3 linked regions of the Pelodiscus sinensis genome follow. The protein of the gene in region 1 purifies or fractionates together with the protein of each later gene. This does not show direct contact. Links are inferred from orthologs where the notes say so. Each region holds a gene or a part of one and is shown on either strand. Other genes may lie near its edges.

Region 1 (7,543 bases):
CAGTGGACCCAGGTCATTATGTCATAAACTGCTGGGACTGGCTGGCTGAGGTGTGCATGGAGATTCCTGGTCTTCGACTGGATGGGTGCTGACATCATAACAGTCCCGGGCAGAGGGTGATGCTGCAGGTGCTTCTCTGCCTCTGTAATACACGAGAGTTTCTGGGGGCACTGCTGAGAGGGCCAATTCAGGGCGAATTGCTTGGAGACAGAGCTACTTACAGCTTAAGTCTGGGAGTCCTTCACTATAAGGCACCAGCCAATCACAAAGAGCAGTTCTATTCACCGTACTGGCCAGCAAGAAGTCCTACATGCAATTTCCTTAGACACTCCAGTGCTCCTGTGCCACCACCAGCACCGCTCCAAGCACAGATGAGAGGTTATGAAAACTAATCTCGCCAAATCAAAATGGGTTTTCTGACCGCAAAGGACCAGCCACATTCCCAGCTCACTTTAGATCAGGGCTACTCAACTTTGGAAGCTCTGGGGGCCACAAAAATACTCCCAGCACATGCTGAGGGCCGCAAGTTAAGTGTAGTCGCAAATAGCTTCTTTCACACTGATTAAGTGCAAAGTGCACACTGATGCATACAAAGATTAAGGCAAGACTACACGATTTGCAGGCCCCATTTAAGTCTGTTCTGCTGATACTAATAAAATGCAATATTTACCCGATTTCCACCCACATGACCGCACTTTTGATGAGAACTTTTAAAAAGAAAAAGTTATATCCCAGTGTTTTGCGTGTTTAGCTTGAAGCTTCAGGTTGTGCACTTCTCAGAGTGATTTCACTCAGAAAAAGTTTCCAAACCAGAATGCTCCAACCTGTGGTGGGAGGGGAGCTAGACGAGTCATGCCGGACACAAGAGGCAAAAAAGGACAGGTGCTCCGGAGCCCCATCCTGGATTCCCAGCAGGGATGATGTCCCAGTGGAGGCCATGTTCAAAGGATCCCACCCACAAGCCACATGTTGAGCCCTGTGTACACCCAAACCGCACCGCGGACCGCAAACAAACAGGCTGCAGGCTGCATGGTGAGTCGCCATGCGTTAGACTGACATTACCCAAAAAGCATGCTGTGCCAGTCCTTTTGAATCTAAAATCTAAAGGGTTATCAATAACAAGAAATGGTGAGAGCTACAACTCTTAAAGGAATCAAATGCATGCACCAGTGGCAAAGTGTTTGGGGCAAGCTTGAAGCAGAGGTGAATAATCTGCTGTTTTAAATCAAGTCTCTGGAAGACACCCACTCAAGGGTCAACCATCCCTTCAAGCTTCAGTTCCTAGCAAAGCCCCTCCACAGGTGAGACGCTAGAATAAAGACAAATGGGCTTTGTCTACACAGCTGGCTTTTGCCAGCAGAGAGTATGCAAATGAAGTGCTGATTAGCATTTTGTCCTGCTTTATTTGCATAATCGATTCAAGCTGTTTTTGCGCAAGGGATTTTTGCGCAAAAACAAGCAGTGTGGACGTTTCCTTTTTGTGCAAAAACCCCTTTTTGCTTGTTTGTGCGCAAAAACCCCTTGCGCAAAAACGGTTTGAATCGATTATGCAAATGAAGTGTGACAAAATGCTAATCAGCACTTCATTTGCAAACTCCAGGGCTCTTTTTATATCATAGGCCACAATGAAGGACGCTCATGGCTCTCAGTGGGAAAATGCAGCTACAAAATGCAGTTTGTCACCTAAGCACAGCCCTTGTCCATGCAGGACTCAGTCCTTTTTAGGCAGCTACCATGGTCCAAATTCCAGATTGGAGGTTTGCAGGAAAGTCCACTGAGTGCAATTGGTGCTTCCCATGCTTCATTGTCCCAATCAACCTGAGAAGCCTTTCTCACACACACACACACACACACACACACACACACACACACACACACACACACACACAAATATGATACCTGCCCACAAATAGCATAAACAGAATCAGCGAATCATTAGCTTTCTATAGACACCTCACGTGGCCCACTTTATACAAGATTTAGTGCAAACATCTAGCAGTGGTTGCAACAATCACCTGTACGGACATATCACACTCCAGTAACAGTGCAGCCTCTTGGGACCCAATTCCGCTGGAGCAAACCTACAGATGCTACAGCCATGTGAATTGATCCCGATGCCATGGGGCGCCTGTCTCTACATAGACCCTTGTTCCCTTGCTCTGTCACTCGCTTTGCTCCACCACTGTCTCATGTCCATGACTGTCCTGGCATTTCCCTCTTCCTGGATGCAAATGGGACCGTGCAGGAATTGTGCCCTACCAGTTAATACTCCATTTAGAGGCGTGGTGCAGAGAAGGGCGGGGAGAAGATGGGGGCTGCTACAGACCAGTCCTGGAAGGACAGGGAGACAAAAACATTCAGACAAAAGGGAAGGGAGCAGCTGTAGAAAAGGGATGAATTTTGTGTGCCCTGCAGTATCTCAGAGCAGTGTTTCTCAACCTTTTTTTTATAAAGTACCCCCTTAAAAAAAATAAGTACCCCCAGTGCTTACAGTTTTCAGACACACAATTTTTTTTCTACCATTTTAACACATTTGTTTAAAAAACTTAATCATAGCCGGGCGGGTGATGACATTTTTGGGTGTAAAAAGTACAAAAGTAATAAAGCGCTGTACAACTTAAAACAAAAATTCAGTTTTCTCCAAATTTCAGTTGTGTTGATGTAGCCCCCCGACTTCTCTCGAGTACCCCTAAGGGAACTCGTACCACTGGTTGAGAAACACTGTCTCAGAGTATAGCCCAGTACTACAGTACAGCCGCTCCTCGAGTTGCGAACGGTTGAGTTATGACCATTTGCTCCAAAGCTCCTATGGAGCGGTCGTAAAGGCGGTCCCCTTACGAACAGCGCGGTCACGTGTAACTCAATGGGGTCCAAGTTACGAATAGATCGAGTTATGGGCAAGTGTTTGGTCCGTAAGTCGTTCGTAACTCGGGGAGAGGCTGTAGAGCTACCCCGAGGGGCTTGTTGGAGATGACTGGGCCAATCAGGCCTCACACCACTTTACTAGAATTCTTTGATGGGTCAACAAGCATGTGGCCAAGGGATCCAGTGGATGTAGTGAACTAGGATGTTCAGAAAGCCTTTGACAAGGTCCCTCGGCGAAAGCCCTTCAGCAAAGTCATGGGATACGAGGAGAGAAGGCCTTCTCATGTAAGTAATTAGGCAGAAGACAGGAACAAAGAGTAGGAATAAATGGTCAGTTTTCATAATGGAGAGTGGTAAATAGCAGGGTCACTGTAGGACCCTGCGATCAGAGCTCTTTGGAGAAGAGGATATAAAACTACTGAAGATGGCTCAGTCCAAAGCTGACGGCAGGGAGTTACAAAGAGACCTCACCAAACTGGGTGACAGGGCAACAAAATGGCAGGTGAAATGCAATGTTGATCACTGTAAAATAATGCAGGTTGGAAAAAAGAATCCTCACTAATCATACAAAATGCTGGGGACTAAATTAGCTGTTACCATGTGAGACTCAGATCTTGGAGTCATTGTGGAGAGTTCTCAGAAAACATGCACTCAATGTGCAGCGACAGTCAAAAAAGCAAACAGCAGCATGTCAGGAGCCATTAGGGAAGGGATAGAAAGTAGGAAATATCACAAAGCCACAGTATAACTCCCTGGTATGCCCACATCTTGAATACTGTATGCAGTTCTGGTCACCCCGTCTCTAAAACAAAATATTGGAATTGGGAAAGGCAGGGGGTTGAGGAGAGATTCATGAGACCAGGACTGTTCACTGTAGAAAAGACAGCACTGAAGGGGCATCTAGCTATAGGACGGGGGTGAAGAGACTGAATGAATTTCATAGAATCCTAGAGCTGGAAGAGACCTCAGGAGTCATCAAGTCCAGCCCCCTGCCCAAAGCAGGACCAATCCCAACTCAATCAACCCAGCCAGGGCTTTGTCAAGTGGAGACTTAACAGATTTGCTCCTTCCTATAACACAAGAACTGGGGTGACCAGATGACATGGACGGAGGGGGGGGGGCAGGTTTAAAATGTTGCAGCCTGCGGAACTCACTGCCAAGGGATGCTGGGGAGGCCAGACGTGAACTAGGCCAAGTCTATGGGCATAGTGACCCTGGCCACCAGCAGCCCTGCCCATCCCTCTGAGCTGTGTCTATCCTCATAGCCCTGCGCTTATCCTGATTGGAAGAAGAAGGGGGAGAGATAACTACTCCTGCCAGCACTTAAGATGGCGCCCCACTCCTTCCCATCTTCATGGTGTGTTTTTTGCCACCATTCAAGATGGCGTCTCATTCCAGGCTTCACTTGCCCTTTGTTCCTCCCTCTCTCAAGACCGCAGTGCTACCCTCGTAGGAAACTGATGGAAGGGCGCGCTGACTGGCAGATGAATTAACCCAATCAACAGGCAGCTTCCAAAGATGGACATCTCTATCAGCCAATAGACTGGCAGTTCCTCTGGCGGCATCCGCTAACTCCGGCGTAAGGCGGGCCTCGGGCCTCCAGCAGACCAATGAGAGTGGAGGGAGCGGCCCGGAATGGCGGGGCGTCGCGCCAATGGGAGTGGAGGCGGAAGAAGCGCTCTGTCGCCGGCAGAGGACGCGCCGCGCGGGAGTGGGAGCCGGAGCGCGGTACCACGTGAGCGGCCTCCGGGAGCGCGAGGTGAGAGCGGCCGGGCGGGGCGCTCACGCGAGCCCGGGGCTTGGGCTGCGGCCTGGTCGGCGCCGCGTCTCCCCCGCCCGGCCCGGCAACGGGGGGGGCCGGGGCCGGGAGCCTGCCCATGGCGGCCGCTCTGCTTGTGGGGGGGGCACGTGCCCCCAGCCCCCCCGGATCCTCCAGCGCCCCCTAATCCCGCCCGTAGCCCCGCCTCCCGCGCCCCGCAGTCCCGACCCGCGGGCCCCCAGCTCTGCCAGCGCCCCATAACCCCGACCCCCCAGCCCCCCCCGCAAGGGTACCGTAATGCCCGTCCACAGCCCCCAGCCCTGGCCCCCCAGCGCCCCATAACCCCGACCCCCCAGCCCCCCCCGCAAGGGTACCGTAATGCCCGTCCACAGCCCCCCCAGCCCTGGCCCCCCAGCGCCCCATAATCCCGACCCCCCAGCCCCCCCCCGCAAGGGTATCGTAATGCCCGTCCACAGCCCCCAGCCCTGGCTCCCCAGCGCCCCATAACCCCGACCCCCCAGCCACCTGGCTAGCCCAACCCCCCCCCCCGCAAGGGTATCGTAATGCCCGTCCACAGCCTCCCCATAACCCCGGCCCCCCAGCCCCCCCCCCCGCAAGGGTACCGTAATGCCCGTCCACAGCCCCCAGCCCTGGCCCCCCAGCGCCCCATAACCCCGACCCCCCAACCCCCCCCGCAAGGGTACCGTAATGCCCGTCCACAGCCCCCAGCCCTGGCCCCCCAGCGCCCCATAACCCCGACCCCCCAGCCACCTGGCTAGCCCAACCCCCCCCCCCCCGCAAGGGTATCGTAATGCCCGTCCACAGCCCCCCCAGCCCTGGCCCCCCAGCGCCCCATAATCCCGACTCCCCAACCCACCTCCCCAAGCGACCCAGTGTCCCATCTAGTGCCCCTCAATCCTGACCCATAGCCTCCCAGTCAGTGCCCCTCAATCCTGACCCACAACTCCCCTGGCTGTCCAGGCTCCCCACTCCCAGCTCTGCCAATGGCCCTCAATCCTGCCCAAGGCCCCTGGGCTAATGAAGTTTGGGGTTACTCCCCCACCCCAGCTCTGCCCGTGCCTCACGCTCTTGACCTGCAGCCTGTTACCCCAGCCTCATCTCCGTCCCAGCTCTGTGGGTGTGTCTCCATCCTGACCTAAAGCCCTTGTGCAAGTCCTGGGCTCCCCTCCACCTCTGTTGGCTCAGCACTGGCCTGAAGCCTTTACTAGCCTAGTACAGGCCTGGGTCCCTCAGTTCTGACCTGTCCAAACCCTGAGCTCCCTGTGCTAACACTGTTGGTACCTTCAGTGCAGCCCCGCAGCCCGAGTGCCCCGTTCCTCGCAGAATGGCGGAGCAGGATGTGGAGAACGAGCTGCTGGATTATGAGGAGGACGAGGAGCCCCAGGTGGTGGCGGACGCGGTGCCCCCTGCAGCAAAGAAGGACGTGAAGGGCTCCTATGTGTCCATCCACAGCTCAGGGTTCCGGGACTTCCTGCTCAAACCCGAGCTCCTGCGAGCCATTGTGGACTGTGGCTTCGAGCACCCGTCTGAAGGTAGGAGCGGAGCCGAGGCCCCTGGCCCCTGGGAGCGCAACCCCCTCGCCAGCCCGCCTGGGAGGACCTGCGGGCGGGGGCCATAGAGAGCGGCGCTGCCTGGTGAGAGCTGCGGGGATACGGGGGTGTCAGCAAAAGGAGTGTGATCCTGAGATCTGCCCTGCCAACTGGGGGCTACGGACGTTCAATAGCGACTGACTAATCGAATAGTCGATGTATTTTGCATTGACTATTCGATTAGTCGATGGGGCGCCTCCACCTTCGAAGTGTAGCAACAGCTCTAGGGCCCATGGGCTGTTGCTACACTTCAAAGGCGGAGGTGGAGCCTGGGATCAGCTGGGAACTCCCCCACTGACCCTGGGCTCTGTGTGGCGCTGCCGCTTTGAAACGCTGCGGGGAGCCTGGGGATACCCCAGCTGGCCCAGGCTTCAAGCGGTGCTACTGCTTTCAAGTACCCTCTCCTCTTTCCCCTCACCCCGCTGCCTCTTTCTGATGGAGGCAGCAAGGGATGGGGTGTGACCAGCCGACTAGTCCATCAGGCCTGTCTGCATTGGGGAAGCAGGGAGCGCTCTCCTTGGCACTCAGTATCAGCCCCAGTGCAGCACTGAGGGGCCCTGTGCCGCTGGGGGTGGGGTCTCAGTAGGTGACCCTAATGCCCCAGTGCTGGAGGGGGATGGGTTTAGCGGTTTGAGCAGCGGGCTGGGAGTCAGGACTCCTGGTTCTCCCCTCAACATGCTGCGCCCCATCTAACTGTCGTGTGTCTGCCCTCCCCTCGCAGTGCAGCACGAGTGCATCCCGCAGGCCATCCTGGGCATGGACGTGCTGTGCCAGGCCAAGTCGGGCATGGGCAAGACGGCTGTCTTCGTGCTGGCCACGCTGCAGCAGATTGAGCCGGTGGATGGGCAGGTATGGTTTGGGGGGGGGGGGGGGGAGCAGCCCTCTCTCTGACCCATTCCATGTGGGAAGGGGCCTGGGGCTGCCTATCCAGGTGTGGGGTAGACTTGGTGAAGAGACATCCTGGGCTCCAAGAGAAGGGCAGGGAAGGCGACGTGGACCCCTGATGCTTTAGCTTAGTCTGGTCTCCCCAGATCATTCATCCCTGTGAAGGGGCAAAGGGGGGGCACCTGTTCCCCAAATCTTGGAAGAGGGGGGAGGTGTCCATCCCCAGGAGGGTGTTCCTGGGTGGGGGTGTTGGGCTGCATCCCTGGAGAGGCAGGATGTCTCATGGGGTGCTGAGGTGACCCCGTCTCTCCCCCCAGGTGTCCGTGCTGGTGATGTGCCACACACGGGAGCTGGCGTTCCAGATCAGCAAGGAGTACGAGCGCTTCTCCAAGTACATGCCCAGCGTCAAGGTGATCCCATCCTC
Region 2 (7,451 bases), on another chromosome or scaffold:
ACATGCTACTTCCCTGTTTAGCCTGTGCTGGGCACCAACTGATCAAGAGGACTATAAACAGTTAGAAAGACACACTATACAGCAGAAATTGTTGTTTGGGAACTGTTTAAGGGAAACAGACTGATACCCATTGGGATGCATGAGTAGCTAGCTCTTCCTAGGCCCCCCTCCTAGGGTAGAAAGGCTTAGGTAAGATAGGTACGCATACAGACCTTTTGTTGTTTTCAGAATCCTTTTTCTCTTTATGTTATGCTTTGTTCATTTGGTAAGATTTGCACCTTGCCATCCATCCAACCATCCCACCCCAACCCACTTCTGCACCCTCCCAGACCCCCCCAACTCCTAACCCACTCCTGTACTCTCTTTCCTGTCCATACCCCTCATTACCACCCTAAGCCCACTTCCAGGCAGCCCCCTTCCACACACTGAACCCCTCATTTTTGGCCTGCCCCAGAGCCTAGGGGGACCCAGGCTCCCTAAGCTCTGGTGTGCAAGGTGAACATGGGGAGTGTCTTTGTGCTTCTAAGTCAGGGGTTCACATCAGGGAAGTGTGTGTTTGGTTCCAATTTTTGTGCATCCCTTGATTGATTTTTCTGTGTGTCTCCAGTCCCTGGCCCAAGCAAGATTCCCAATTTCCTGCCCTATTTGTAAGAATGAAATGAAGAAAACTTGTGTCCTGTTTTGCTTAGCCTGGCCTTACGCTGTGTTTGGGAGGGTGAATCCTCTTTCATTTCAAAGTTCCTCTGAAATCAGCAGGATGCAAAGCATAATGGGACATGGGGAAGTTGCTGCTGCTACCCGTTTACCTTTTCTTACATTTTACAAACCATTTGAGCCTAATGGGTGCATGGGTTCCTCACTGCCTGTAAAGACACTGGCTGCAGCTACTCAATTTTCTGTGTTCTGCATAGTTTGGTGACAAAAAGAAAGAACCCAGTATGAATGCTTAGTGCCACCTAATGGAGATGAGGATCATGTGTCCAATTTACTATCAGGTACAGTACTTCAGGACTGAAATTTAGTTTATTAAAAAAACACAAGAGAGTTACAAAATGTTTCCATGAAATGTTTAAAAAAAAGTCTATTAACAATTATTTAAACTTTCCCTACCCTGCTGAGGACTGAGACATTATTATTTCATGGTAGTGAATCTGTCTGTCTAACAATCTGCCTCTTTTGGCATTATGTTCCTCATGTAGACTCTGATTTGCTGGAGAATTAAATAGTGAAAAAGACTAGAAACAGAAAATGAAACTGGCTAAACAGGCAAATGCAGAAAAGAAATGAACAGTACCAATGGTGAGAAATAAACTAGGTGTGAATGTCTTAGTAGCAGTACCTGTTTTAAAATACAACTTTTCTAATTTATACTGTTACTAATAACACAGGTAAGGATACATTGAAAGCTTTGTTCTCTGGAACTCATGGGGAAAGAGAGGGTTGCCGGTTAATTGAATGTGCTGGATAACACAGTTTTTTGCTCTGCCCCTCCACCACCTACCAGCAGATTCAGCAGCTCAAAGCAAGCTGAGGGGAAAGAAGGTGGTTGCTGATGATGTCAACAAGTGGTGCTGGTTGTCAGAAGCCCTGCAACAGCTGGACACGCAGGAGTCAGGCATGCGTGCCTGATGATGCGGTGGTATTATGGCTGGGGGCAATGCCGGTAAACAAAGTTTTCCAATTAACAGAGTGCCGGATAACAAAGCTTTCACTATTTTTACATGCCAATTATGCATGTATGTGCATGTATTTATACCGTCTCAAAATAATTTACACAGAAAAAATGATAAAAGACAAAAACACTTTATCAATCATGGGAGAACACTTTTCAAAAAGCTATCACTCTGTTCCTGACCTCTCAGTCCTTGTGATCAAAGGAAATCTGTATAACACCTTCAAAAGATGAACTTGGGAACTGAAATTCATAACTTTTCAAAACTAAACAAAACTAAGGGGAGGAAGGGTGGAGGCAAGGGCTTGAGATGAAGGGGGCATTGTCTTGTTCTTCCCCCCATTACTAAATAGATCACACTAGGGCTTATATGGACTTTGAGTTCCAAAACCACAGCTTTCAACTAGGACCAAGCAGGTCAGACAATATCACTATTCCAGTGTTCCCTCTATTTAACAGATGCAGTTATGCCGGTATGTGCATGTAAAGATTTTCTCGGTGGAAAGGACCTATTAGTATTGTATAAGCATTTATAAGGTTGCTTGATTTTATGTAATATTCATAAAACTTTTCAGTGTCTTTTTAATGGTTCAATTTTCTACTAAATCATTTAAAAGTAAATATATTCTTCCTCCTTTGATTTTTTCCCTCTTTTTCTTTTCTCAATTTGACTTTTATTTCTACTTTCTTTTTAAGTAATATCTTGGTGAATTTTTCTGCCAACTTTTTAAATGTCTGCTTTTCTTCATTCTTGGGGGCTTTAAAATGTTTTTGTTCTCTCTCTCTCTTTCTCCCTCTTCCCTTCCTTTTCTTGTGTTTTGGTCTCACTTCTTTTGTTAAATTCTCTTTCAGCTCCTCCCTCCTTCCCCATGCCTGAACTGGAAACTTCACAATGGACACTTCAACGCATATCCCTGCTCAAAGCTCAAACCATAGTAGTGATCAAACAAGCACAGTGTAAGGTTTTTGTATCCATCAGAATCCTGTACTCCTTGTGCCCTTTGAGGATTTGATTGCCAAAATTCAAAATACGCAAAACAAAAAAAGCCAAGTTAAGGTAACCCTTTTTAGTATTACACAACCTTTGCCCTGCTCTTAAACACCAATTATTCAGAAATCCCTCAAGATCACAGTATCTTAGCCATACATCAGCTTCCTTGTCCTGTATCATCTCTGACAACCAGATGCCAGTGCTTCCCACAACTGTCATGCTGCCCAGAGCCTACTGAGGGTGTGTCTAGACTACAGGTTTTGGGGGGTTTTTTAAAGGCCTTTTTTCAAAAAAACAACTTCCCCTGCGTCTAGACTGCTGCTGCGTTCTTTCGAAAGTAAATCTGGTGCTCAGGCATGCATAGAAAAAGTAGCTAATGTGTTGTGGCTTAGTTGGGTATGTGAATCTGGGGAAACAAGCACATATTCTAAAAGGCATAAGAAGTACAGGGCACAGCTGAATACCTTCACTTTTGAGCATCTAGAATAGTGATAGAAATGTAGCCGTGTTAGTCTGGGGTAGCTGAAGCAAAATGCAGGACAATGTAGCACTTTAAAGACTAACAAGATGGTTTATTAGATGATGAGCTTTCGTGGGCCAGACCCACTTTTTGATTTTGATCTGAGGAAGTGGGTCTGGCCCACGAAAACTCATCATCTAATAAACCATCTTGTTAGTCTTTAAAGTGCTACATTGTCCTACATTTTGTTTTGAGCATCTGTAACTCTGACCCCATTTAAAAATGTGTGTGTGTGATTTTTCCATAGTTTGTAAATATTTGGAATTGACAGTACATGGAGTTCTCCATCCCCCAGGTCCCAGTAGCTGCAGGAAAAGAGCCCCTTGTCTGTGTCTAGATAGTCATCAGCCAGCAGGTAGATCAGAGTGCAGCAGTTGCTTTTGCTGCAGTGCTTGTGCCAGAGCTGAGCAGCATTACAGGCCAGGGATGGCTAAACCTCCCTAAATAGCTCTATTCCCCCATACTCGCTCCTGCTTCCCACTGGCAGTCTGAAGCTCTTCCCCAGTGGCTAGCATCCCAGGCTTGGCCTGCTGCCATGGACTCCATGCGGCTGGAGTTGGTGCTTGCACTGCCTGCCTGCCCAGCACTGGTAACCGCACTGCCCGCAAGTTTCAGGGCCGCATGGTGTTCCCGGGCTAGCAGAGGCACCCACCCAGCACTCTGGGGTAAGGATGTTAAGAGGCAAGTAACTGTCTAACCATGTAGTCAATACACTTTGATGAGTTGATAAGGGAAGGTGCTCAGTCCCGGCTTGTACCGGGTCCAGGAGCTACCCCCGCTGGGCGCACAGGCAGCCTGGCTCCCACTACATTTAAACTGTAGAGCCCCAGCGGGGGTAGATCCCAGAGCCAGCGCAAGCCAGACCTGAGCTCCTCAGTCCCGGCTCGTACTGGGTTGAGCAGCCCCTGCCTGTGGGGCATCCCCGCTCCCTGCTGCGACCGCCCACGGATTCAGAGCAGCCTCTGCTTGTGGCGAGCCTGGGCCAGCCTCCCTTGCCCTTCCCGCCGTCTCCCGTGCAGCTGCCCGATAGAGGCAGCAAGGCGGGGGGGGGGGGGGGGGGTACAGGCGGCACCGCGCCTGGGGAAACGCTCTGTGGCTGAGACGCCGGGGGACGGCGCCCGGGCTGGGGCAGCGGGGCAGGTGCTTGCCCTGGGCGCGTTCCCGCGGCCGCAGTCGGTCTGCCGCGCCTGCAGGGGTCGCTGCCGCCGGAAGCTGCTGCGCTCGCTCGGTGGCAGCAGGCGCAGCGTCGGTGGCAGCAGCAGCAGCAGCCGCAGGAGAAGCAGCCGCGGCGGCCCCGATTCCAGCTCCGGCCCCCGCCCGCCCCCGCCGCACGATGCCCACCGTGGAGGAGCTTTACCGCAACTATGGGATCCTGGCCGACGCCACCGAGACCGCGGGGCAGGTGGGCCCCGGCCGCGGCCTGCAGGGCCCCGCAAAGCTTCGGGCTGGAGTGCGGCGGGTCCCTCGGCGGGGGAGGGCAGGCCCGGCCCGGGCTGGAAGGGGCAGGGGGAGGGGGAGGCCAGGGGGGAGGGGGGTTACTGGGGCTGAGCAGCCTGGCGGGGCAGCGGGTTACGTAGCTGATTAAAATATTCTCCCCCTCCTCCCCCGCCAAAAGCAGCGTCAGCCTGGGTCAGTGGCGTCAGGCTTGAAAGGGGGCCCTCTCCCCTGCCGTGGCCACTGGTGCCCGGCGTCTGTCAGTTGGAGGGAGACTCCTTGACCTTGTGTTGGGTGCACGGCGCTCTGGTGCTGTCCCAGGCGTGGAAAGGGTTTGTGGCCAACGGTTCGCCAGGACGTTGAAGGCCTGAATCCCAGAGGTGCGTAGCAGCCCCTGCTCCTATTCAGCTCTCCTGGGAGTTGTGAGTAGCCATCATCCCTCACAAGTCGGTCGATTCCTTGAAGCTCCCTCCTGCTTGGCAGAGCTGTGTCTCTTTGAAATGTGGTGTTCCACTTAGTAGCTCCGTCTCAGAAAACAGATTTGCCTTGCTGGGTGTTTGGCCCAGATAAATGTATGGTAGTCATCAAAAGAAAAAAGACACATCTTGCATCTTTTACATTTATTATCACCATCCAGAATAGGGTAAAGTCTTCTTTCTGCAACAAGGTGGATAAGGTGTTAAAAATACAACTTGGTTCATTTTCTTTAGAATAAAATATTTAGCTTGCTTGTTCCACTTTAAGTAATTTGTTTAGGAACATTCTGCTAGCATTTTAAGGTTTCTGTTCTGCATAATTTTATATGTGCAATAGAGTTAAGCTTGTGCTGAAGAGCTTGCAGTGTCTGAGCACTGAACAGTTAAGCCAATGTAGGAGTAAAAATGAAATTAGCCAAAGTAAACCAATAGCAACTTTAGTGTAATTATTGAGGCATTACTGGTTAGAAAGGAAACTTATTTCCAAAGATAGACATTGTGTACAATAGTTCATTTAAATGGCAGATGGTAACAACAATATTTGATTAAGAGCAATATGATTATTCATCTGTGTACAACTTGAGGACAGAGAAATTGCTTGACCAGTTTTGGCCAACAGTCATCTTTTTTTTTTTTTTTTTTTTTAAATAAAGACTTCCAAGTAAAATCTTCTGTCTTGAAATATTAATATAAAAACATGACTTGGCAATGCCAGGTGAAAGATCAAATGTCAAACATCATCTTAGGCAGAAGATAATTGTTGTTGTTCTTCAAGTTTTTACAAATATCAATTCTTTCCCCTGCCTAGATAGAAGGTTTCCAGTTTCTCATCATGCCATTGAACCCTGATAATCCTATGGAATTCCATCAACTTCGTTGTGACTCTGCTTGTGTTTAAGGGGTCTGCTTCTGTGAATACGATAGCAGCATTTGGCTCTTAGATAGAATATGTAAATATTTTAATGTTATTCAGCTGAGCAGAGGATGATTTACTGCTTCAGTTGGCTATTAAGGGCTAGATCTACTCTTACTGAAGTCAGTGGAAATTTTGACTTCAGGAATAGGAATGGGCTGTTTGGAATGGACCATTTCCTACCTTATTGGTGTTTTGGACAGCATTTTTTTGTTGGTTCAATTAGGAGTCAGCAAGTTTATGTCACTATGCAAATTATGGTTCCGTTAATTTATCATTAATATAGGTGAACTTTTTGAAATAGGGTTTTGTATTAATCATAAAAACTAAAGTACAATTGAGAATAACAAGTCCTTTCTTGATCCTAGGGAAATTCTAAGTATGTTCTGCTTTATATAGTCTATTTTCTCTTCTAGCATAAAGATGCTTATCAAGTGATACTGGATGGTGTAAAAGGAGGTGCCAAGGAGAAGAGACTGGCAGCACAGTTTATTCCAAAGTTCTTCAAACATTTTCCTGAGCTGGCAGATTCAGCTATCAATGCCCAACTGGACCTCTGTGAGGATGAAGATGTTTCCGTAAGGCTACATGTTGGATGTTTTTTAGCAGGCTTCTATGTTGAGTCTTATTTTGTGTTCCCTTTTATTCCTCTCCCATTTTATACAAGTATTTTCTTGCAAAAAAGGGACTCCGGTGTCCATATGTTTCAAATTATATTATGTCTGTGTGTCATAAAATTGTAATTAACAATATGTTAGTTCCTTTCTTTTATTTCAGTCAAAACAATTCTGATCACTTTGGCTGAAATAATCGGATTCTATGTTACTTGCTTCATGATAATGCTTACAATGTCTGAAGAACACATTGTAATTCTGTCCATCGTCTATCACCAGATAAATCTTCCTTTTCTTCATTATCCCTCGTGATTCAACCCTTTCTAATTACAGGAAAATTTTCTCTACCTAGAAAATGAACTGAAAAATACTTCTCACATCTCTAGCACTTTTTATATCAAAGTACTTTATAATAAGTAGAGATGTTAAAATGTGTTTTAAGTAACCATATAATTTCTGAAAATATCAGCGGTTATGTGCAAGATGGCAGTTGGTTCCCCAGGAACTGGTGCTCACAGAGAGCCAGCTTTTAAGCAGGCTCACTGCATGTACCAGCTCCCACCTACATCTGACATCCCCCCCCCCCCCCCCCCGCCTCCCCGATGCCTCTCATACCAAGGCAGCAGTAGAGGGGAGGCGGCTCCCTGGAAGCTGGTGCACACAGGAATTTGGTTTTTAAGGCACCTCGCTGCATGTACCGGGTGAAGGTTACATGAAGGTTAACTGATGAGCCTAGTGTACATGGTTACATTTCACATTGCTAGTATTAAGCATTACATCTTCTCTGCAGGGTAGGGAAGTATTGCTCCCATTTTACATTTATACATTGGA
Region 3 (6,923 bases), on another chromosome or scaffold:
CGCCCGCCTGGTCTAGTGCAGACATCGTGGACCTCATCCACGACCTCCGCACTAGGCACAGGAAAGTGGCCGTCTAGGGCAGGATAGCTGCCAGCCTGGCCACCCAGGAGCAAGTATGTATGAAAATCAAGGTGGTCCAGTGAGACCCCCGACCCTGAGCCCTGAGCTTAGAATGGCCGTACTGGGTCAGACCAAAGGTCCATCTAGCCCAGTAGTCTGCCAACAGCGGCCAACACTAGGTACCCTGGAGGGAATGGACCGAAGACAATGACCAAGCCATTTGTCTCGTGCCATCCATCTCCAGCCTTCCACAAACAGAGGCCAGGGACACCATTTCTACCCCCTGGCTAATAGCACTCCATGGACCCAACCTCCATGACTTTATCTCACTTCTCTTTAAACTCTGTTCTAGTTCTAGCCTTCACAGCCTCCTGCAGCAAGGAGTTCCACAAGTTGACTATTTGGTTTGTGAAGAAGAACTTTCTGTTATTAGTTTGAAGCCTGCTACCCATTCATTTCATTTGGTGTCCTCTAGTCCTCCTATTATGGGAACTAATGAAGAACATTTCTTTATGCACCCTTTCCACACCACTCATGCTTTTATAGACCTCTATCATATCCCACCTCAGTCTCCTCTTTTCTAAGCTGAGAAGTCCCAGTCTCTTTAGCCTCTCTTCATATGGGACCTGTTCCAAACCCCTGATCATTTTAGTTGCCCTCCCCTCTCCCACCCTCTCTCTTCCCCTCTCCCACCTCCTTTTCCCAGTCTCCCCAAGTTTTGCTCAATAAAGAGAGTTTCTATTTTTGAACACACATGTCCTTTATTTTGTACATCAGGAAGGGGGGCTAGGGAGGGGTAAGTGGAAGGAGGTGAGGGAGGACTGGGGTACGAGCCCCCGATGGGGAGGACTGGGCTGGCTCTGCGGGCTCCTCGGGGTGGAAGCTCTCCTGCAGCCCCCCGATTAACCCCCGTCCCCGGATGGCAGCCTATGGCGAGTGCAGCCGGGCTGATGGCCGAGTGTGGGCACTTGAAGCCAGGACTGCTTTGCTGTCCCTCATCAAGTTAGACAAGTGAACAGGGAACCCCTGAGAACTGTCTGTCCGGGGTGGGGGTCGGGTCCTTTTAAGCACAGCCCTCGGCTAGCCTGAGACAGCAGCTCCACGCTCTAAGTCCTCATCTGATGCCCTGCCGGCACTGCTTCTGGCCATCCTTAACCCCGGTTCAGGGTCCACTCAATGTGGACATGCTAGTTCGAATTAGCAAAACGCTAATTTGAACTAGTTTTTAGGTCTAGATGCACTAGTTCGAATTAGCTTAGTTCGAATTAACTAATTTGAATTAAGTTCGAATTAGCGCTGTAGTGTAGACATACCCTTCAACAGCAGATGAAGAATTTCACGTCAAATATCTTTATTTCATTCTTCCAGAATTCAAGCTGATGGGACATGATTCATTGCATATAGCAACTACATGGGCAAGAAAGGTCCATTAGCCTAGTCTTTGTAGCCATGCCTACAGATGCAGCTCCCTCAGTTCTCCTGACCCATTGATGGGGGCAGGTGCACATGGACTCTAATTGATGACCCCTGCACATACAGGGCTGCAGGTGCAGCTGACCAGTCTGGCACCATATCTTCCCCCACAATGGGGATAGCCAGTGCTTGTGATTCTAGCCCCATGACTGGGAGGGAGCTGAGAGTCAGGGATTCCAGCCCATGGTGCGCAGACTTGCCACGGGCTGGAGAAAATTTAGCAGGGGGAAGGTCCCTCTCCTTCCCCACTTTAGGAAATATTCATTAGTCAATGTTATTGAGTGAGCCTGAATTGCAAAGTTTAGACACAAACTGATCTGAAAGAGATGTTCCAGGGAGTTGGGATTCTGCATTCCCATTTCAAAGTGACACCCACAGTATGCAGCTCTACCTGTTTCTGAAATTACACACAAGTCTGTTTGCTGCAACAAACATAAAATTACCACATCCTCTGGAAACCTTTTCCTCCTGTAGACTTGTGCAACATAATTTCTCTCGTTTTCTGCAAACTTACCACAAAACAACTCCGACTAAAACATGGAACAATATACTTATCCAATGACAGAGCATTGTCACGTCTGAAAGGATGTTACAGAATGTCACTATGTCCAGAGGCAGATAGTTATGACTGAATTGGCAGGGTACAACCTGGAACTGGGGTAACACTGAGCATCTTTAACTCTCCAGCCTGGGCGCTATCTCGCAATGCTTTGCAAGTGACAGCTGTGCTTGGCAGGGTTTGCTATTTATCATTCAGCTCCCAGATCCACTCACAAATCTTAAAGAGAAAGGAGCCAGCCAATTCCTCTCACCTCCCTGGACTTTTGCCCAAAAGGTGCACCATCTTTTCCTGGTCAGAAGCCTGACCAGTGTATATTTCTTACACAGTCCACCCATCCTTCAATGTGGAGAGGACACACTCTAGCCTTTCTAACCTGAGCTGAGATTTCCCAAGCACTTCAAGGAAAACACTGTTCTGGGTAAAATATCAAACAGATTTATTAAATAGAGAGAGAGAGAGAGATTCTGTAGGCTACATCTGCACTGCAGCACTATTTCGGGATACTGGAGGTATCCCGAAATAGCTATTCTGCGTCTTTTGAGCACACCCGTTATTTCGAAATATAATGGGCTCGCTATTCTGACATCCCTCTAATGAGCATTAGAGGGGTAAGGGACTTTTCAGAATAGCAATTTATTTTGAAATAGGTGCTGTGTAGACAGTGCCAAATTTTGAAATTAGCTATTTCAAAATATGATTAAAATAAAATATGCAATTTGCGTAGCTCAAATTGCGTATCTTATTTCAAGCTACAGGCACAGTGTAGAGGCACCCTTTAAGTGGTAGACATAAATGATCAGAGATAGTTACCAAAGAAAATAGAAGCTAAGCACACAATCTAACTCTTAAACCTTATTATATTATGCAGTATTTAGGTCAAGCAGTATTCTCACCCCCTAGATATTACAGTTCTTAATACACAGGCTTCTCCCTGGTCCAGTCTCCTCAGTTGAAGTCTTTGTCTTCCAAGCATTCTTGTTCCTCCTTCCAGCATATGTGGGGGAAGAGAAAGGGAACAGTGGCACCAGGCTTTTGTCTATCTTGTATCCTTAGTCCACGTACCTATGAGACACTTGCTCCGATGAAGACATGTCCTGATGGACTTTCCTGAGTCACAAGGCTAAGCAATACCACTGATGTGATCTTGTGCAACTGCATCCTAGAATTGGACAGTCTCCATTGTTTGGTGCTTGCACAATTGTTATTGAATTGTATACCCTTTGATTAGAACTCCCCTATTGATTAATGAATGTTTAATACCATCCTGGAAGTGGTTCATCACCTAGCATTAAAGACTCTCAAAATTACAGCATATTTCAGTAACAACCATTTGGCAAAATCTCATAACTTCATGCACACTATTGATAAGCATTTGAACAGAACAACTGGCTTCAGACTTTTTATATGATGTGATGCTTTGCATGAAATAGTCATCATTTTATGGTGGTGTTATGGGACTGTAATGAGTCTGGGACAGCAACATGGCTGCCTGCTGACCCGGAAGAGGAAGTGCCCTCTATGACCCCTTGGTGGGCGGGTCCAGCCACACCTAGCCCCGCCCACAGGAGGTCAGAGGGCGGGTCTGGGGCTATAAGAGCCACAGGTTCAGTCGGAGCCAGGTAACTAAGCCAAGCCAACACCTGGCCGTAACTCCCACAGCGTAGGCCTCGGCCGCACTGCCCCTGGTCCAAGAACTGGGTTGGGCTGCGTGGACCCCTGCCAACCTCAGAGCTCTGGCCTGGGACACTGGCTGCTGCCTGAATGCACGCTGATCCTGATAGCACGCTTGCTGGCTACCAACAACTGTGCTGGCCCACCTGGAGTCCTGCCTGAACCGGAGCCCATGGACACCCTGCCAACCCCGCTGTTGCCCGAGTATCCACCGGACTGTCGCCAGAATTGGGTAGGCCCATGGAGGGAGGAGGGGGGTTGGAAAGTGACTCAGGGACAGCCGATCCTGGGAAGGCTGAAGAAGTGGAGGTCAGGTGGGCAGGGCGCTGTGGCTTGGACTCCCATTGACCTGGACGGCGCGCTATGGCCTGGAGCTCTGCCGGTCCAGTGGCTGCTGCCTTGGCACTGTTAGGGCCCTGGTGCGGGATGCGGTGGAGTAGGGAGGGCCTGCGTCCCCCCTGCAACCCTTTCCCCTGAGTGGCAGGTTCCCCCTGTGGGGCCAAAACCCTTGTGCTTGTCGGCTCTCGCAGAGCGAGGAGACCCGACCCCTGTCCGGCTGGGACCCAGACAGAGCTTTAATAGACACTTGTCGCCCTGACCCAAGGCACCTTAAACTGTGAACTGATGACTATTTGTATTAACCCCATGTCTGTCCGCCTGCCCTGACCCCGGGCGGGGCCTCACAAACTCACTCAGCCGAGGCATGTCCCACGGACTTGTGGGCACTTTAGGGAGTCAGCAGTGCCCCACCTGCTAATGTAGGACCCAATGGTAAGTACTGTTTACTTTTGGGAAGCTAGTAACATTGTGACTGTTGTTTTGTAAGTTGAACTGTCAGGTGATGCAGGACTTGCAAAGAGGGCATCCAACCCCCATACTTCAAACATTCCAGACTGATTTCTTAGGTCTCCTCTTTCATTAGTACAAATGGCATGGGGCTCCATTTTTTGTTCTCCCCAACAAAAAGAAGCTTTTTGTGTGCAGCAATCTGTCACAGATCAAGATCATTGGTCTTCCTGGCTCATTTTATATGAAGGAAATCTTCCTTGCTCTGCCATAAATGCATTGTATTACTTTTGCAAAGTATGGAGTTTCCACACAACAAAGCACTTAAGCGTGTCCATATGAATACTTTATTATATACCTGCCAACTCCCTCAAAACCAAAACAGTAGTTGTTAACTTCATGGGCCGTAACTTCATGGATTGTAATATGAATCGCTTAGATCTGCTACCACACCTCCTGGTGCAGTTATTGCATGCTGCCCACATGGCACTGCAGAAACACCTCATCACCTCTTTCCCCATACTGCTCATGCAGCAAATTGCAAAATTTGAGGCACAAGGCATTAGAGCCACATTTCACTTCAAAGTAACATTCAACAAAACCAAAGGAGGCAAAAAAAAAAGAAATCTAATTAAAAAAAGGATACACACAACACACACACAAGCTTTTAATTTAGTTTAGTGGTGAATATGACGCATTTAGATTTGGATCATGTAAATGATGAGAGAAATCAGGGAGACAGAACTTTCCTTTCAATCACTATAGCACTAGAGATATTTCTGAACTTACACAATTCATTCCCGGTGATTTCATGTGCAACCTCTACACTGGAACTATGACGGTACAAATAAGCTATTTTGGCATCATAACTCCCAGAATAGCTATTTCAAATACTATGTTCCACACTACAAAAGCCCATCAAAATAGTGCAGAAATATATCAAAATAGTGTGTCCACACTGAGTGAAGCCTGAATAGCTCTTAAGGCCCCCTGGAAGCATCAGGGCAGAGCATCAGGACAGCAGTCATTTCCTGTAGCTGCTGCCTGAGGCTATCTGAGGCTTATGCTTAAAAGGGCTACCTTCTACAGCCATGTCTCAGGCTCTTCACCTTTGCCTTGAAGGACAGCAAACTCATCTCACTTCTTGCTCTGGTTGCTCTTGAGGGCATGGAGCTAGATGTGCTAGAAAGTAATCGCCATCTCTTAGATCTGCTACCACGCCTCCTGGTGCAGTTATTGCATGCTGCCCACATGGCACTGCAGGAACAGGACACACTGTTCCCTGTAGGGCACCTCCTCACCTCTTTCTCCGTACTGCTCATGCAGCATGATCTCTCCCACCCTACCCTGCACACCAGGCACTGCCACTTCTGGCGACTAGCAACAGGTTCCAGCTGGTGGGGCCAGATTGTCATGGAGCAACGGGATGACCAGTAGTGGCTGTAGAACTTCCATGTGCTTAAGGACACCTTCCTGGAGCTCTGCAAGGGATACGCACATGGAACCCGCCATCCCCTTCCAGAAGTGGGTCACCATCACACTTTGGAAGCTCACCACACCAGACAGTTACTGCTCTGCCGGGAACCAGTTTTGCGTGGGGAGATCAACAGTTGGGGCCATACTCAGGCAGATACGATTCTCTTGCCGTTGTCCCAGGAGGGTGGTGAAGCACTGGAGTGGAGTTTCCTCGGGAGAGCTCCAGGAAGGTGTCCTTAGGCAAGTGGGGAAAGGGACCGACTCCCCTCCTAGGATGTGGTGGAGGGGCTTGTATAGGGATATGATTGGGGTGCTGCCCCTGAACGGGAGCTCCACTCCCTGGCTTTGGTGTAGGCCAGCCTCAACTCTTTCACTTTCGTGTGTTCTGGAGAAAGCAATAGACTTGGCTGCTTAGGTATCGTTTCAAAACAAACTTAGCATCTTCCCCAGGGACAAACTTGAAGGAAGATTACTATGCAGTCAGACAGATCCAATGTACAAGAGGAATAAAAGGCATCTGCACCTGGTCCACCAATTGGAGCCACAGAGGTGGTTGGATGGTGTGAAACATGTAAACTGGTTCTTCCTTATTCCGGCACAGAGCCTTAACCATTCTTCCTTCCATTCTTACAAAAATAATTAATACTAATAAGTATTTCAATTATCGTGGTGCATAGGAGCCCTAATTCTAGAGCTGAAGCTCACATAGCTCTTGTAGCAAGGAAAATCAAGAAACCAGGTTCATCTTCATGTAGGAAGGGCACTGGAGGAGGAGACATGTTTTTCTACCAGAGCCTCAGGGATGGATGAGGAAATCTTTGACTTGGGGTCTCATCCAAGGAGGGATATAGCAGAGCTCTGCTTTGGAGCCAGCTGCTAAAAACACCACCTTGGG

What was found.
Region 2: the proteins of DDX39A (region 1) and API5 fractionate together in Homo sapiens (co-fractionation; 3 studies listed by BioGRID, with this or other methods). This does not show direct contact. The link is inferred for Pelodiscus sinensis from reciprocal best matches to the Homo sapiens genes DDX39A and API5.
Region 3: the proteins of DDX39A (region 1) and THOC1 purify together in Homo sapiens (affinity purification with mass spectrometry; 3 studies listed by BioGRID and IntAct, with this or other methods). This does not show direct contact. The link is inferred for Pelodiscus sinensis from reciprocal best matches to the Homo sapiens genes DDX39A and THOC1.

Annotation. Positions count from the first base shown.
Region 1 is NC_134729.1:10,432,248-10,439,790, reverse strand, and holds the start of DDX39A (ATP-dependent RNA helicase DDX39A), read left to right. Parts: upstream 1-4,491; 5' UTR 4,492-4,624; intron 4,625-5,932; 5' UTR 5,933-5,969; coding exon 5,970-6,177; intron 6,178-6,955; coding exon 6,956-7,083; intron 7,084-7,436; coding exon 7,437-7,529; intron 7,530-7,543. UniProt on the Homo sapiens protein: Helicase that plays an essential role in mRNA export and is involved in multiple steps in RNA metabolism including alternative splicing. Regulates nuclear mRNA export to the cytoplasm through association with ECD.
Region 2 is NC_134714.1:80,645,036-80,652,486, forward strand, and holds the start of API5 (apoptosis inhibitor 5), read left to right. Parts: upstream 1-4,348; 5' UTR 4,349-4,516; coding exon 4,517-4,585; intron 4,586-6,422; coding exon 6,423-6,584; intron 6,585-7,451. UniProt on the Homo sapiens protein: Antiapoptotic factor that may have a role in protein assembly. Negatively regulates ACIN1. By binding to ACIN1, it suppresses ACIN1 cleavage from CASP3 and ACIN1-mediated DNA fragmentation. Also known to efficiently suppress E2F1-induced apoptosis.
Region 3 is NC_134712.1:79,537,412-79,544,334, reverse strand, and holds the start of THOC1 (THO complex subunit 1), read left to right. Parts: upstream 1-3,847; 5' UTR 3,848-3,938; coding exon 3,939-3,998; intron 3,999-6,923. UniProt on the Homo sapiens protein: Component of the THO subcomplex of the TREX complex which is thought to couple mRNA transcription, processing and nuclear export, and which specifically associates with spliced mRNA and not with unspliced pre-mRNA.